Schizosaccharomyces pombe: one gene and its partner. The protein of the gene in region 2 purifies or fractionates together with the protein of the main gene of each other region. This does not show direct contact. Each region holds a gene or a part of one and is shown on either strand. Other genes may lie near its edges.

Evidence for each region.
Region 1: the proteins of mus7 (region 2) and mms1 purify together in Schizosaccharomyces pombe (affinity purification with western blotting; one study listed by BioGRID). This does not show direct contact.

Annotation. Positions count from the first base shown.
Region 1 is NC_003424.3:592,037-600,306, reverse strand, and holds mms1 (E3 ubiquitin ligase complex subunit Mms1), read left to right. Parts: upstream 1-2,780; 5' UTR 2,781-3,029; coding exon 3,030-5,407; exon of another isoform or gene 5,408-5,447; coding exon 5,448-5,536; exon of another isoform or gene 5,537-5,575; coding exon 5,576-6,330; 3' UTR 6,331-6,406; downstream 6,407-8,270. Other genes in the region: inositol phosphorylceramide synthase Aur1, read right to left, coding at 123-1,391; SPOM_SPAC3H8.04 (chromosome segregation protein), read right to left, coding at 6,548-7,564.
Region 2 is NC_003424.3:2,406,754-2,416,678, forward strand, and holds mus7 (DNA repair protein Mus7/Mms22), read right to left. Parts: upstream 7,295-9,925; 5' UTR 7,218-7,294; coding exon 1,551-7,217; 3' UTR 1,383-1,550; downstream 1-1,382. Other genes in the region: SPOM_SPAC1B9.03C (ribosome biogenesis protein), read left to right, coding at 1-52, 113-1,198; HbrB family protein involved in TOR signaling Bit2, read right to left, coding at 7,476-8,384; EKC/KEOPS complex subunit Gon7, read left to right, coding at 9,632-9,853. UniProt on the Schizosaccharomyces pombe protein: Involved in protection against replication-dependent DNA damage. May act by restoring active replication forks, repairing unusual DNA structures, and/or preventing aberrant DNA rearrangement at arrested replication forks.

The DNA of each region.
Region 1 (8,270 bases), 1.8 Mb from region 2:
GATGTCAGATTAACAGTTAAAAAACACAATGAACAACATCATTCCAATACCACTATGAATCAAACCGATTCTAGTCAATGTATCATGTAGCTTTTGGAAATATATTCTTAAAGCACGTTGATTTAAGGAAGATGACTTGCATCAAAGATGGAGGAAGTGGTACTGGCAGGACGATCAATCAAATCAGCAGCAGGACTAGGTAACGGCTCAGGTGATGATGAACCCACGGACCATTCATGATCGGTGTTAGCAAGTTCCATATTGTTAAGACCACTCATGAAGGCTACTGCATTAGGGTTTTGAGTAAAAGAATCCCTTCCAAGTAAGTATGGGCTGCCGGTACGAGCCAAGGAGTTGCTGGTTTTTTCGGAAAGACCATGACCGTGGATAACAAACTCGTATTCCCAACGAAGGATTTTACCAGTTTGCAACTGTGGGAGGCGTAGCTTTTGAGCAAAAACGAAGCATATAATAGCTAAACACATACCGCCGACCAAATCTACAAAGTAGTGGTGGGTAAGGTACATAGTACACCAGCAAAGCCATAGAACATATCCATAAAAGCAGAAGCGGTATCGAGGAAACACATGCGAAAGGAAAAGTGCTTCCAGCATGGCCCATCCAGCGTGAAGAGATGGAAAGGCACCAAAAACAACCGGAGAGTTAGAAAAACCATCAGTGTAAATGCTAGTGCCGAAGAGAGCATCAATACGGGCCAATCCACCAGGAGAGCCACGTACTGCATACGTGGCAGGTTCTAAACCATACATATTTTCATACCAAGGAGGAGAACAGGGGAAAGCCATTTGGATAAGAACACCAAATAAATTCATATAACCAAAAGTTCGAGCCCAAACTGGAAGAGTTCCAGGAGGTGCAAAGATGAAAAGAATAAATGAAATGATAAAAGGAGCCGAATAATGCATGACTCCATATGGAACCCAGGCCAAAATATCAAGGATGCTATGCGTGGTTTTCGAGAGAAGACTAGAAAGATTAGAGCCATAAAGAATATTTTCAAGTGTGGGTAAAACACGAACCCATATGGGTGGACGCCAGCGTTCTGGAATAAACCTACAAGAGTAAAATAAAATTGCCCAGGTGATGATAACAATGGCAGGAAAAAAAATTTGGCGTGTTAAAGGAACGGTCAACGCAATGGCCAAAAGACAGGCAATGCCAAATTTCCCCCAGAATCCAGGAGATTCAATGACAATACAAGCAAAAATCAAATTACCTGCTAGAAACACATATTGCAAATGTGTCCATGACCATTTCGTATTGCGTAGCAAACGAAATGTAGGCATAGGGTTTAAGCTTGTTTCCAACTTGTATTGGGATGCTCGGTTACACGCAGCAAGGCGCTTTTTTAAGGTCGAAAGAGCAGACATTGCTTCAAAGAATTATCAGAGTAAAAAAGGGAAGCGTACGAAAAAAATTTCGTAAGGAATTAACCGGAAAACTAAAGGAAAAAAAAGGAATTTTTATGAAGGAAAGAAAGTAGCTATTAAATGCAAGTGTCAAGCACTTAAAAGTAGCGATGTAAAATATTTAAAAAAAGATGGACCGATTAACCAATGTTCAGCTCACAGTTGCCAGCAATCAGGGCTATTTTTTTATTTTTTTTATAAAATTGCTAATTATATATAATATAATTAGTTTATTAACTTGCTTTTCCTCAAAAAACCAATTCGAGAAAGGAACTTTTGCAGAGGCAAAAAAGCTTCTCCGAAAGAGATACTAGTTTAAAAACCTTTGGTTGCAAATACAAACCAAAATACTCCAATTTAACTATACAATTGGAGTTAGTCGATTTCAATTGCCCCGTATAAATGGTTCTTTAGAGGTTGGTAGTGGCGAGCTGAGAATGGTACGGTCGGCTAGTATTTGTTTAGGTTTGGCAAGTGGTGTTACTGTAGCGCAACACAAGATAGCCTAGCGAAAACAACGTTATTTCGAAACTCTAGGTAATTGGAAGATATTCCTTCTCAGGTAACACTATTCGGCAACGGCAGCCAATAAAATATTTGAAAGCTAAGACTCGTTATTAAACAATAAGACACTAAGCTCCATATATAATTACCGTATCCAAGTTTACTGCACGGAAATGAGAAAGCGGAAAGTAAATCAGAAACAATTTTAGCGAAATAAAATATGAATTTCGATATAATAAGATAAAAACATTGCGGTTGAGGGTAGTATCAGATGAAGCAAATATATTATTGTAACTAAATACCTTAAGCGCATCTAGGACACGTACTTAAGCATGGGTCTATATATTCAATAACTTAGCAATGTTACGAAATATTTAGGAGGAATAGTTTTATGCACTCTTTAATACTTCAAATTTTACTTCCGTCTATATCTGTTGAATTAAGCATTCAAAATGACAATTGACAACATTAAAACAATGTAAATCTATTTGGAAGTACTAATTTTTGTTTTCGATTTCTTAATTAGGAAAACAAAAAGTGCCTACTTGCATTTTCACAGCCTTTTTCTTTGGATTCTGAATGTATACATTAGCACCCTGTTGATAATTCTTTCACGTAGGTAAAAAAGACATCATTAAGCTATTGATTTTAAATGGCCGTAGAAAATTCAAACTGTCGTAGGTCAGACAACACTTCTCTAAAGATGAAACCAAATCGTATATTTGTTAACTAGAAATCAAAATCATATATCGCATATTAATTGTTATCTTAATTTTTGTGTTCCTTAGGTTCTCGAAATTCCAACGATGGATATTCTTACATACATTCAACACAACCCAACATATTAACTCGAACAAGCCATGGTTGGTTGTCAATAATCCTTTCACATTTGGAGGAACTCGTAAGGATCTATCTTCTAAATAAGGGCGTTATATATATTTAAACCTGTACATATCTATTTTCATTGATTTTAATGTTTTTTCCGTATTTGCTAATTTCTTTGATGCATACGATTAACTAATAGCTTTTTCTATTCTATCAAAATTTGACTCTAATCAAATTAAATTGGTTCCAAGCGTTTAACTTTGTGAATTCATGGCAGAAATTATTCATCATTCAAACGTATTCACCTGGGCTTTTCATGTTTCCGAATATGATGGTGCTCCTCTCCTTTTACTTGGATCTTTTTCCTCTGTAGCTTCTGTGAGTTTAAAGCGATCTGGTGATTTACTACTTTTTGAAAGATTCACGTTGCCTGCAAGAACGAGGTCTGTTGCTTTGTTATCAAGCCATTTCCTTCAGTCAGAATCAGGTAGACATTCAATAGCGAATATTTTAATTGCTACTGAAAACGGAAAATGCTACTTGTTGCAGCTCGTCAAAACACCAGAAAAAGCGTTTCCGACGATTCGTATTAGAGATGAATTCGTTCTTGATACTCGAATGTACAACCATGAACAATTAGGAAAATCAATTGATTTATGCCCAAATGCTTCCTTGTGGGCTACTAATTCTTTTGCTGGTGATATTGTATTTTTCTTTTCACATCATCCTTCCTTAAGCAAGCAAGTCTTCGCTCAACTTTCTATCGATGGAATAATACTTCATACCATATTTGTACCTCCAAAAAGATCCTCTTCGTCTTGTGTTACGTATGTTTGTCTTTTTCTAGATTCAAATTCGAATCCTAGAATCAATGTTTATAGGTGGTCTAAGACGGAAACCTTTTCTGATGCTAGTTCTTACATAACCTTCTCAATACCGGTTCCATCCGAATTTTCTCTTGCTTCCCATATTATCCCTTGCTCCAATATTCCTGATCATTTTTTAGTATTATTGGAGACAAAGATTTGTCTGCTTTCTGTCCCACAGATAGAATGTGGGGATCTAAAATTTTTACAGACCGATCTTCCATGCAGCGGTTCACATAATTATCCATTGTCTATTGCAAATGATAACGAAACTCCGAATTGTTGCTATTTAACCTACGAAAATGGAGATTTGTATCGCATTCGTTACTCTATTTTGTCTATTGATATTAATTTAATTGGAAAGACTGGATCTTCTTTAGGAAATTTGATACTACCTTGTTATCCATACATTGTTTTTTGTGGTGACTGTTCTGATACATTAGTGTATGATGTTTCGGTATCGCCTATGTCCTTTTTTGGTAGCTTAATTGCTTGCGCTCCAATGTGGGATTTTGTGTATTCCTCATCAAGGCATAACACTTTGTTGGATGAAGACATCAATTGTAATACAGTTTATGCTACTGCTGGCATTGGTAAATCTGGGTGTTTGGTCACAATGCGTTACGGGTGCTCATCCACTACTTTGCTTGAAGCAATATTAACTGAGGGAGCTGTTTTATCAGGAATTATAAATTCTAACCACAACTCTGAATTTTACGCTTGGCTAACTTATCCTTGGCAAACACAAATTTTAAGGCTTCATCTCGATGGGGTCGTCGAAGATGTTACCGAAAGTCTTTTTTTGGATGATATAAAAGCTTTATATGTTATAAATTACCAAAATACGTTTATCATTATTACGGGAAAATCCATTTATGCTGTTACTCCTAGTTGTACAAAGTATAACCTTCTTGAGGTTTCAGGAGATGAAGAATTTGTTTTGGCTGCTTATAACGAATTAATTTTCATCGTTAAAAAAGATTTAATGAATTTCAAAAGTCAATTGCTTACACTAAAACTAAATACTCTTTCTAATGGTACACTTGAACTTCAGTCGCTTCCGGATTCCTTCGATCTACACGATGTCCCTACTTGTATTACTTCCTTTTCTTTGGAAAGAAAGCTACTGGTGATACTGGTTCATCCTTCACCTTATTTTGAATGCGTTTTCTATGATGAAACCTCACACTCTAGTGTCTATAAAGTCCCCTTAACAGGTTTTCAATTTGGATACCTTCCTCATAGCATATCGTATTTGAGAAAATCAAACCGCGCTGTTTATGTATTGATTTCATCCAACTCTACTCTTTTAACCGTCTATGTAACTCTAACGTTAGAGGGAGTACCGGATTTTAAAGTTTACTCTAATCCTATTTCAACAGACTTACCACTCACGTTACAGTCACCCTCCGATGAGTTTTCAACAATTTATGCATGGTCTGACTATTTGTATATAGTGGGTATCGATATGGAAACTGAACAACCTACGCTGAACCAGATACTTGAAGTAAATGACAGTTTTACTTGTGTTTCTGGTATTTACGATATTCCAAATAAGTTCCAGAACAGTGAATCAAGAATCATAGTGTATTATTCGAATAATACTTTGTACCTATCGGAACTTTGGCTTCCACAGCGAACCTTTTCTTCAAAACTAAATCTTGCAGCAACTCCCAAGAGATTACTTGTTGATAAATATACGAACACTTTAATCATTGGATGTTGTCACGTTTTAGTAAATGAAATTACAACCTCAGGTCTTGCTTTTTACGACTTGACTAAGTGAGTTACGTGTTTCTAGTGCCTACTAACAATTACACAGCTCGCGACTTTTCCCTGTCAATTGGCCTTCAATGGATATTAAAGGTAAACCAATATTCAAACCGGAGGAATTATTATATTCTATGTCTTGTAAGTTAGCTTTACTTTAATCACCTAACGATTATTTAGTTTGGATTGTAGCCGACGATCAAAAAAGAAAATATAGGTACCTTTGTATAGGAACAGGGGTACGAAAAAACGGATTAACTACAGGTCGTTTGTTAATTCTTACCATGAATAAAGATCATGACAGCAATGCTATAGAACTTCGCAATGTCATCACAATTAATATGAAAGACCCTATTTATTCCGTTTGTTCGATCGGAAAACATGGATTGTGTTATGCAACAGGACGAAAGATTGGTGTAAAGATGTTGGACTTAGACTCAAAGAAGTTTTGCAACAGTGATTGTGAGTTACCTGTTCGGTCTCCCATTGTATCGATGTCAACGTATAAGGACTATGTGTACACTTCTAGTTTAAGAGATTCTGTTGCCGTGTTCCAGTATGATAGTGAAAACAACTCCCTTAATTTAGTTTGCAGCGACACATCATCGAGACTAGGCATTGATTGCTTTTACATTTCACAAAAAAAATTATTGTTTTCTTGTGACAAAGACCGGTTATTAACTTGTTTCAAAGTTGAGGGTGAAGTTTGCACGTCTACCAGAGAACAAATGCTCCAGCCAATTCTTACTACAGTGTCTCAAACAAAAACAAATGCCTTAACTAACCATTTAAAGTATTCAGTTATTCGGGTGGATAAAGATAATCATAATATTGTTTGGGGATTGATGGGTTGTACTTTAGATGGGAATATCTTCAAGATCTTAATGCCTAACGATCCGACTTCGTCGGATACAATTATCTATTCTGATACTTAATGTTATCACACATTAGAAATTCCAATTTACAACAATAAATTTATCAGAGCAATACTAATGAACAATTTTTGGATGGTTTTAAATGACGTAGATAAGCAAAGAGTATAATATTAAATTAATTTAATATAAACTTGGAACGCATGAATGTTAATTTTCATTAAAAAAGAGTTATATAAGTCAATAAATCTTTACATGTCAGCAGTAAAAAGTTGGCTAGCTATCGACAACTTTCTGACAGCAGTGTTTCATTCACAATCTTCGTGTTCCCATATAACCCGCCTAAAGATTGCTGGACAAAAATAATTCTTTGAGAGTCATAAAGGTAATGGTGTCCTGCAGAAGTGCAAATAATTTGTAACTGTAATCCAAACTTTAAATGACTTAAAATTTTCCCACTTTTATCGTCTAGTTGCTGAAGATAATGTTTCTGGCGAATCCAGGTTTTAGAGCAATCAACCATACTTGAAACATTATAAGGCACCAAAAAAACTTTAATGACTAAACCGTTAGTTTGTCGAAGTATTAGTTGTAATTGCCCAACTGATGGAATTCTATATCCGAATGGATAGCCTTTATTCATGACTTTGTCGCTTTTTTGACTTCTCAGTCGAAATCGACCGATATAAGGAAATTGCACATTATCAACATTTCCAACGAGTGAGTAAGCCACAAAATTTATTTTTAAATGTGGCGGGAAAACAAGTGAAGGCTTGCATCGGCAAAACGAAATAACCCCAATTTCTATGGAAAACTCAAAAGGTACTGATGAACAGTAAGGCATGTGACCACTAAACAAACTCTCCTCGTATGATCCTATAAAACCACTCCTTTGAAAGCAGTTCTTCAATGAATAGGTATTTATACCTTTGGCGTTAAGAGAATGTTCAGCAGAAGCATCAATTGGTTGTTGTTGAGTTATATAATCACCAGACAATAATTTATTACAACGACATGAACATCTCGTGAACAGATGAGGCCCATTTGAAGGTTTAACAGATTTCTCATTGTTAAAAATTTCGAATTTCAATGGAGAATTACAGAGAAAGTGGTTGTTCGCCTTACTATTACCAGGAAAGTTTGAAAAAAAGTCTTTCATCTGACTTATCGATTTCAAATTCATCCATTCTTGTTCGATTGGAAAACTCCTGCTAGTAGAGAACAAGTTTCGAATATTTTTGTATAGCAATTCATTATTTTCAAGAGACGTTGATGTCGCACAATAACAAGCTGGCATTAATAAAAAAGAAAAAGAAAAGGAATAAAAGGCTTTCGATAATCGAATACAAATGAATGCGGTTTGTTCGCATTCAAGGAAAGTAAGGTATTAATGTCAAGAAAAAACAAAACAAAAAATTCAACACGGAAATAAAGTGCCTTATATCGTGTCAATGCTTAACCACTTTTTGATAAACGAAAAAAAAATAACAAAAAAAACAGAAAATCATTAAATCATGGATAACCGTAAGTATTTTTCGAGAAAGCCTCAGTTCACTAAAGAAAATATAATTCCCAACATTAAGAGTTATTCAGCTTATAATCACCAATAAAAAAGGGATAAACTACAAGGAATTTTCTTCTCGTGAATAATTAATTCATAAGCAAATTGTAAATCAACGTCTTCAGAACAAAGCAAAAATTTTAAAAGCTAAAAATGTTTGTCAAAATATTCCTATCACAGACAAATCCAAGTTCAATTCAAAAATAATGAAAAAGTCGTTGAGATTTCAGGATTATAAGTATGTGTGAAGGGAAAGGTAAAGAACAGTCCATGGGCGTATGACGCAGATATATAGATTATGTTTGAAGGTATGTTTTCGATATAGCATTTAATATTTGTCAATTTACAAACTATACAATATTGAGAAAAGAATTTTTAATTTAGTTATATACCCTAATAGCCTTAAACGTATTCTGTCTATAACTACAGTCAAAAAATAAAA
Region 2 (9,925 bases):
GAGGACGCATTTGAAAGCTGATCCTATACAAGAAGCAGCAATTCCTAAATCGGTATGTGCAATTTTGTAAAATTGTAAAATTTTTTAGTCCCTTTGCTAATTCTTATTTAAGATGGTAATTCGATCGGGCGCTTCTGAAGTAGGTAGAAGCTTATCTTTGCTTACTCGAGATCTTCGACATATGATGGAACCACATACAGCTATTCGATTAAAGGAGCGTAAAGCTAATAAAATAAAAGATTACTTGACTATGGCTGGACCTCTTGGAGTTACACATCTTCTTGTCCTCTCTCGCACTGACAACAATGCGAACTTGAGAATCATTAGGGCTCCTAGAGGTCCCTCATTACATTTTAGGATTCATGAGTATATGCTGAACAAAGATGTTCGAAGACTTCAAAAAAATCCTAAATCTCCAACAACAGAGTTCCTTACTCCTCCACTTTTGGTCATGAATCATTTTAATCAAAATTCGTCAAAAGACTCTCCCCATGAAGCTTTGCTAACGACTACATTTCAAAATATGTTTCCTCCAATTTCAGTCCAACATACCAACATTAATAGTGTTAAACGGGTTCTGTTATTAAACCGCCGCGACGATGGTTATATCGACCTTCGTCATTTCATAATTAGCACGAAGCCTGTGGGTATTTCTCGCCCTATAAGACATCTGTTGAAAGGTGAAAAAAAGGACTCTGATATCCCTGATTTACACAATGTTCGTGATATTTCGGATTATGTTTTACATGGTGATGGTATTTCTGGTGCAGCAAGTGACTCAGAAATCGAAGAGGATGCAACCGTAGAGATTGATCGTCCTGTACCGACTAAAACTGAAGAGAATCTACTATCGGCATCTCAACTATTAAAACCTAAGCAACAGGCAATTAAGTTAATTGAAATAGGCCCTAGGATGACATTGGAATTGATCAAGATTACTGAAGATGCGATGGGAGGAAAGGTACTTTATCACAGTCATGTCCATAAATCTAAAGAGGAAATAAAGCAACAAGATAATTTTCACGAACAGAGTCGCGCGTTAAAAGAAAAAAGAAAGAAAGAGCAAGACGAAAATGTCAGGAGGAAACGTGAAAATAAGAAAAGAAGAAAAGACCAGAAAAAAGAAGGTATTACTTCTTCGAACAAAAATGATGACAGCGGAAATGAAGGGTCATCTGCTTATTCTGATACAGAATAATATATTTGGATTTTGGGTTTTATCTTAGGTTAGAAGTATTTTTGATCAGATGGCTTATAATAGAAATACATTATATTTTACTGGTCAAATTAGACCACAGTCATGTGATAATAAAATTACGTACATTAATGGATGTACTAGTAGCAAAAAAAAAGAGCTCTAAGCAAAAGAAATATGCAGAACTGGATTATTTCATTGTCTAATTATTTTGTATACAACAAGAGATAATTAATAAATGAGTTTGTGTATTACACAGACATCAAATGAAATATTAAAAATAAATAAAATAAATAAAATAAACAACGTGGAAACCAAAAGCAACCACAACTGAAAAATCTTTTAATTTTGGCTTTTAAAACAATACAATATCAAAATCATTCTCTTCAGTCATCCAAGAATAGCCGATTTTATCCAAAAAGCATTTGATTTTTGTCGGTAACCCACTCATGTCAGGTGCATAACTGCAAATTACATTGAGAAACCTATCTAATTCAGGCTCTAAAAAACCTTTATCGTGTTTCCATATTTGAATAGTAACTTCCATTAAACCTGACCAGTATTCTTCTTCCTGTTCCACCTGAGAAGGCAAAACTAGTTTTTTCTTCCTAGACTTATGTACAATATTGGTAACGTTGTCGTACCAATCCGCTGAGCAATGTTGCTGAATAGTTTTAACAAATTTGCTACGACAATCAACAGTATTGTAAGGAGGGGGAAACTCAGACCCTTCAATATTCCAACATAATTCAAGAAGGAAGTCTCGAGCTATGCGAGCTAAAAAATTCTGTAAGTTACATATTAAACTAGATGGCAATCCACTGGTTTTGTTTGTCATGCTTATAGCCACAAATGAAGAAATAAGGTAATATATTCTCCCAGAAAGTAAAGGGCGTTTGTTTTCATATAATAAAGCATATTTCTCTAAATCAGCCACAAAAACAGAAATTTCTTCACACAGTAACTGTTGAATGTAAGGTTGCAAATATATACGTCTAAAGCTGTTGTAAGTTCGGCTTAGACCCTCCAGTAGTAACAATGAATAAAACATAGCTGCTAACGAGCCTTCACCAAGGTAACTCAATAAAAGTTCCTTTACACAAAATTTCCGAAGAGAAGAAATCTCGACATCCCATTTGCTGGAGCTATTTTGATTATGGAATCCCATAGCCAGCCTTAAAAGATTAGAAGTTTCAGTTTGCTTTTGTTCTAGCAGAGCAACATCAAAATTTGCTTTTAGGAAACTAAACAAAGCATTTTGAGAAGCTGAATTTGTGAGAGTTTTTCTCGCATAACTTCGTAACCTCAAGGCCGTATATTCGAGACGCTCCGGTGGTTGGGGGAACTTAGTTGAGTCCATAAAATATCTGAGGGCAGGAAGGTTACGATCATTTGCAAATTGACTACAATACTGTAAAATGTCTCCGACAACACGTTGTGAATTAATAACAAACAAAGAGTGAGTATCAGAAGAATGACCATTTGTCTCATAACTATGCTGCATAGAAGACAGTAGAGAGGATAGGTAATGAATAAACAAGCTCTGTAAATATTGAGAGCTCGCGAAACCATTTGTCTTGGCATCAGCATACAGTTTTGCCATGTTGCAAAACACAGCTGTTAATAAATTCAAGTGAACCGACTTAAAGTAATTTATACTAATTTCCTCAATTTTGACGGATATCGGTAAATTAAGCAAAATAGGATTTTTTAGGTTTTTCTGTAATAACAAAATCGTAAATTGTGCAGCATGATCCTCATCTAAAGCGCCCAGTGATTCAAACCATACAGTTAAGACTTTTTCCTCATGTTTTTTAATAAAAGAATCATTATAAGATATAAGGAAGGAATAAAACGTGGTACTGAGAGATCTTTTCAAAGGAGTGTTACGAATCCTTTCCCAAGACTCAGACCCAAAATCGATATAGTAACTCCAGTCATTGATTTTCGCTTCTACAGCAAAACTAGCACAAATTGCCATGCACTCCATTAATGGTAAAAGTAAAATACGAATATAATTTTCTTTGTCCTCGTCATTTCCAACGAGATAAGATATCGTTTGATACAAAAAGGGTGAAACAAATGTTCTCAATATTTGAGCCACTTCGTATTTACGTTCAAACTTTTCTTGTTCTAAAATGAGTGTGTTATCATCCAGCACATCAGAATCAAAGTAAGCATCTTGACTATCATGCGAAGTGCTACCAACAACGGTAACCTTAGGTGGCTCTGTATTAGATTGATACTGCAAAAACTTTTTTAGAAATAAAATACACTCCAGAGTAACGCGAGGAGGAAAAAAATGAGAGTCTTTAAGAATGCGCCGGCATGACTGCTCCGTCACCAAAACGTTTATCCTACTAATATAAACTGAAGAATTGGGAATTAAATCTTGAAGGGAATGGAAAGCTACAATTAGCGCATTTTCAAGTTGATGTTTCGAGTATTCAGCCAATTGCATCTCACCAACAGAAGTTCCATTTGAAAAGAGAGCAAGATATTCATCAAATGTAACTTTTAAAATGGAATTAAACCACTCCATTCCCTGAGCGAGTTCATAATCAGTTCCCTCTTTTATCACATACTTCATTAGGTGAAGCCATGCTTTTAGACTAATTAAACGTGCCTTAAGATGAGAATTATCGACGATTACAATATCCCTAATGCGATTTAAACTGGGCCTACAATTCTCGGGTGCTGCCCAATAAAGACAAATAAGAAGAGTGTGAGTATGTTCCAAAGACATAAAGTCCTTAATTGAGAATGGACTTTCTCGCGTGTATTGACGTGAATGTAAGGGCTGTAATCTGGATACTATCCTCTTGATTGAATTTGTATTTTCATCTACTTGCCTCAAACGGCTTATAGAAATTAAAATAACTTTTAAATAAATTACAAAACATGTATCAAGAGCAGTTACATGAAGATTTGGAGGTCTGTCAAGTGACTTAACAAAATCAGGAAAGTCAGTTGGTGTATCTTCAGATATTTCAGAAGAAAGGTCATTAAACTTTCTATGGCTAAAGAAATCGAATATCAAAAATAGGATTTGAGCCACATCCTCCCAACGCCATTCAGATATGAGAAAATGAATTCGAAGAAACACTGTGCGAAGGTATCGCTCAACCACTTTAACATTGTGTCCGTCCTTATGCATTTTAAATGCACTTTCTGAAACTCTGATTATCAGTGGCCAAAAACTATTGTTTCCTGGTGAATGAGTCGTTCCATTAAGCCCAATTTGGAAAACGGGATTGAGCGTCATTATAACATACCAAATTTTTTCCATTTCTAATATAGACAACTCCTTTTTTTGAAGATCAAAAAATGAATTCACCTGTTCCCACAAAGCATATTTCTTCTTATATACATGAAAAAGAATATGATTTAAAATTGACCAAGATTCCAAAAAAAGAGTGTCAATTACAGTCGTATCTGAAGCTTGAATTCTCAAATTCCGATAACATTCCAATAGACCAGATTGACCAGCAGAAAGAAGTTTTGAAATCAAATCACTTGCCAGCCAGGAAACTTTATTAATGTTTTGCTGATTTCCAAGTTCAAATTCACAATAAAATACAACTTGAAAAGTTTGAAACAACACAGCTATTTTTTCAACCAATTGTGATCTATTCAACCCCGATATAGAAGAAACACGATCATTGACTAATGCATAGGTTTCTAAAAAGGAGGAAGCCAAGTTAACCAAGCCCATTGATACTTGAGAATGAAGAATAAACGCAGAGCAAAAAGAAAGTAGATTGTACAAGTCAACAGTTTCAGAGTTTGTAAAGTATGGAAGATTTTCTAAGACTGTCTCAAAAGTGTCTTTTAATTTTTCGAATGTTTTAAAAACATCATCCTGGATATTGAATAAACAAGAAAAAGCATAAACAGACTTAAAAGGATGTGTGACGATGTCCAATTGAAGAATAGAATTTAACCCTTGGGTTTTTATAAAGGAGTTGTTGGGCAAACTAAGTCCCGGTCTAAAAGTTATGACATTAAATGTAGTAGACCAAATACCTATATTCCAAAAAGGATTTACATCTGTAAAATAATTAGGGTTTGAAGAGGATTGAAAAAAGACGGTGTCAAAATCGTCTCGTATAAATCGTTGAGCCTTCTGCTTTCTTGAAGACTTGCGGATCTCAGTATTTACTTGGGGTACAGCTAAAGTCCCCTCATAACAATCATGTTCTCTTTCCTTTGAGTTTAATTCAATATTGTCCCTAATGTAATGGTCTAATTTGGCAACTTTTTGGCATTTGTCATGTACTGTATGAGTCCTTTTTAACTTTTTGGATTTTTTGTATGAAACGTTATTAGAAAAAAGAGAAGAAAATAGCTTTCTTTTTTTTAAGAGTTCCTCGCTAAAATTTTGAAGATGACTCAAACCGTTATTTGCTGCTGTTTTAGCGTTAATATTTACACTATGCTTTTTAGAATTAACAGAAAAAATATTTCCACCAACTGACTTAGAATCTGAAGGCTTTTTGTAAGAATGAGATTGTTGAACAAGCTCATGTTTACCTGAATACCAATCAGAAAGAACTTGATCAATAACTTGGCGATCGGATTCTTTGTCGAAGGAAAAATACTTTTTGGAATCCATTTGTCTTTTTCTTCTAATCATTTTTGGAATATGAGATGAACTTCGAGCAAACACCCTCAAAAACTTTGGCGCCTTTTTCCCATACGATTCAAGGATAAGGTCTGGTAATTTTTCCACTTCGACATATTTAAATCTATTTTTTTTCATTTTGGTTTTAGTTGTGCGATAGACAGGAATAGTAGAAACAGCATTGGCTGCTACATTTAGCTGAAAGGGGTTTTCCGACGTCAAAGAACTTGATTTTTTAAGAGCGGATAAACTTCTTTTAGGAAGCCATAATTGATCAACCACATCTTCTTTCAACCAGCCATTATCACGAGAAATTGAATCTAAAAACTCGCTGGTGTCAAACCGTGAATCATCAGTTGGTGTTGGCGTAGAAATGCTATTGTCAGAATCCGATATTTCGTTTCCTAATTCACTAGATAGTTTAGCTGTCGATCTAGGATGCAACTTCCGTCGAGCCACACCTTTTATTTTTTCTCCCTCAATAACACTCTTGTGTAATGATGTCTTTTTTTTGACACCTCTATTTTCCAATTTTTTTTTTTCTTGAAGAGTTAGAAATGATGGTGGTAAAACTCCTCGTAATCTTTTCTTTAAAGTTTTCAAATTCAGATCACTCACAGTAGAATTCGATGAGATATTTGTCATAGACTGATCCGAATCGGAAAGTAAAGACTCAGATTCTAAAGCCTCTTTGCTAGTTGAGGTTTTCTTTCCTTCAATAGTAGACGACAATGCGAGGTCATTGTCAGCTGTATTCAGATTAGATTCCTTTGAATGATCTTGCTCAGTATTAGACTCATCATCATCGCTATCAGATATTACAGCTCCATACCTTCTAAAGCGATGAGTAGAGGTCAAGGGTGGTTTACGTGAAGAAGCACGATTACGAACTATAACATTTACAGGTTTATGAGAGGACTTAGAAGTAATAGATCGATCAGAAGAAAAACCATGCGGTACGGTGATGGGTACCAAGCCTATTCTTTTAAACTCTATTTGATGCCTTAAGAAATCGTAAGTATAAGGCCGGGTTTGCTCAGGACGTCTAGGGCGAAAATCTCTTTTAACAACAACCGCTTCGTGTTCGGCATCTTTTTTAAAAACCTCAGTTCGTTTGTTTTCTTCTTCCCTCTTTGTTTCAGCTAAATTTTGATCACTTTTTTCAAAAGAAACATTCCTATTCAATTCGGGCAATGAAGACACCGATGACTTTGTAGAACCGATGGTGGTTTCATTGTTCAGAATTTCTAGCTTATTTTGATTTTTTTCTTTAGTAGCCGGCGTAATTCCATCGTATTCATTTCCACGTTGTGAAATTAAAGACCCATGAGTATTTGACCATTCACTTCCAGAATCCTGAGAGTCAGACACATGGTCAAGTAAAAGGAAACTATTCATCCTACAAACCCATGGGAAAGATGGTATTACATAAGAGGGCTTAGAAGAGTTCTTTCGATTTTAAAAAGTGTCTATATGGAGGTCCTGTTGCATACTCCAGTTAGCAAAATAGAAACACCATTGAGTAACAAGGAATAGGTAACATTATTAAATACCTAACAAAAGCCGCAAATATTAAAAGATAAATTGCTTAAATGGGCTTTAAAAACAAATATTGAAAGTATAAAAAGTCTATCTTCTATTAAAACATATTAAATTTCAGACATATAAAAATTTTAAAGTCAGTTCGTTTAGCCAGTTCATTAGAAGATCTTCGGATTCATCTTGTGGCTTTATGAGAGAAATAATGGAAATCATCTGGACGAGTAAAATCTGCTGCTGAGTATTCAATTGAGGAATTTCAATGAATCGATTTGTCTTTTTCAGCTTTGGCATTACAACAAATTTACGAAACACCCAAATAGAAAACAGTTTCAAATCTATATTAGCACTCTTTTTTAACCAGTACGTTTTCATGGGCTCTTCAAATAATTGAGCAATCTCAAATTTTGCAAAAGTAACAGGCAAAAACGTAGCTTCGATATACGGCAATATTTCTAAATAAAAAATCGACCACACCTCAACAAGATAGTGTAGAAAGGAAGACTCATTGCTATTCATACCCAGCAATGAAATGTCAATTATCAGTCCAATTCGCATATTTCCCAAAAGCTCTTCAAAATCGCTTATTGCTTCGCAAGCGCATATACACCGCAGCACTAAAAAATTTAAATCTTCGATAATAACCTTTTTTTTCCAATTCTTCTTATCCTGTTCGGTGTAACGATGTTGCGGAAATATTGGTCTCATAGCAATGTTTAATTGTTTCCACGCTACCAACACAGTTAGCGGTCTTAGTTTATCAATTGCAGTTAATCGATGCGACATTTTATATCGCTTGAGAATAGAGAGTTTTCCCTTGTCAATAGATGGATGAGAGACTAGAGATCCATTAGAAACGATTGAAGCATCAGATATCGTCTTCCTTCTTTTTTTTTTAGACTTTACCGAATCTAAGTTAGATGTAGTGGTTCGATTTTCATCATTGTGAAACAAAAAAAAACAAGGGCATTGAACTTTGATAGTCGTTAACCCTAAATAAATTTTCCATTTATCCCTCAATTTCATTTCTAGCTTTTTTAAATATTAGACAATGGTAGATTTTAAAAGTTGAAATTCGTTGTTTGCATTTCTGTATCGCAGGCGTAAGTTACGTCAATAGATTCAATTACTCTATAAAAAATAAGCTTAATTTAACGAACTTGACAAAGGCTATATTTAATAACATGCGTCACGCACACTAAATAAATAATACAAAATATGAAACAGTATCACGTTAATTTTCGGATTTCTATTTTTCCAAGGTCCATTGTCGATGACTAAGTTTCTTTATTTCATGAACTTTTTTTTAAAGCCAATTTGAGCATATGCTACACCAAAAAAATGTGTATGGTCGATTTCCATGGCTCAAAGTTGTGAATATATTCATCGCTTTTGTAATACCTGCAATTCTACTATATGTTATGCTACATTATGCTTGTCTATCGCTAAATATCATATGTTAGAATATTAGCTAAGGTGTTTTTATTGGTAATTGAGAATAACTATTCTGTATACAAAAATACCCGCTGGTAACATCTATTAGATAATTACGAATAGAAGCTATAACTGAACTGAGGAACGAGGTTCAGCTGTAGGCAATATTAGTGATGGCTAAAAATGTAATCATATAGAATACTAATAACAAGTTGCTACTTACATTACCAGTATAGTGCAATATAATAGATAACAAGGAGATTTCGACGTAATCCAACGTATCGTTACAACAGATAACAAACTGCGTAGCTGATATAGGAATCCTAATAATATTTTATTCTTGGTATATTTAATAAATAATGTTGAGATGCTAAATCAACAATTCAATGAAGCCATCAATTGTCACAAAGCGTTTAATGCATTTTTAATTATTCATATTTGGTGCTCAATAAGTTTACTAAGCCTTGATGATTTAACAAAAGATTATTGCATACCTGTGCTATCAAAGCCCAATAGTATTTGCTAGTAGACTAGGAGACTTTGGTATAAGATAGTAGTGCTTTAAGAAGTACCTCTAACTAGCAACGCAAAGCCGATAATAACGTGAGTAAATTTTAAAGAACGTTGTTTAAAGTACTATATATTGACAACATATCATATCTATCCTTTACAAAAACTGTGCGGATAAAAAACGATAGTTTATTCCATCCGAAGCTTTTGCATAATATCTATCTTTTTTTTCAATTAATATTGTTGCGGAAATCCTGTTTTTCTGTTTTAATTAATTTCTTCTCTTTTTTTTCTTTTTTTTTTTTTATATACAAATAAAAGTTAAAGCAATGAACAATCTTGAACTAACGTATAAATGCGAAACAGATACTACACGTCCATTTTTAAAAAGTCTTCCCGTTGGGTTTGAACCAGTTGAAGTTGATGATTATTATATTTCCTTAAAAGAACAAGTCCGAGCAATGCAAGATCATTGCAATGAAGAGTTTACTAAGAAAATGCAAACTGAAGGAAAGAATGATGTCCCAGAGGAAAAACCCATAATTTTATAAGCGATTAATTAATAAGGACAGATCGTGTCGAACTGCATAACCATTAAAAAAACAGAAAAATAAAGCTAGACA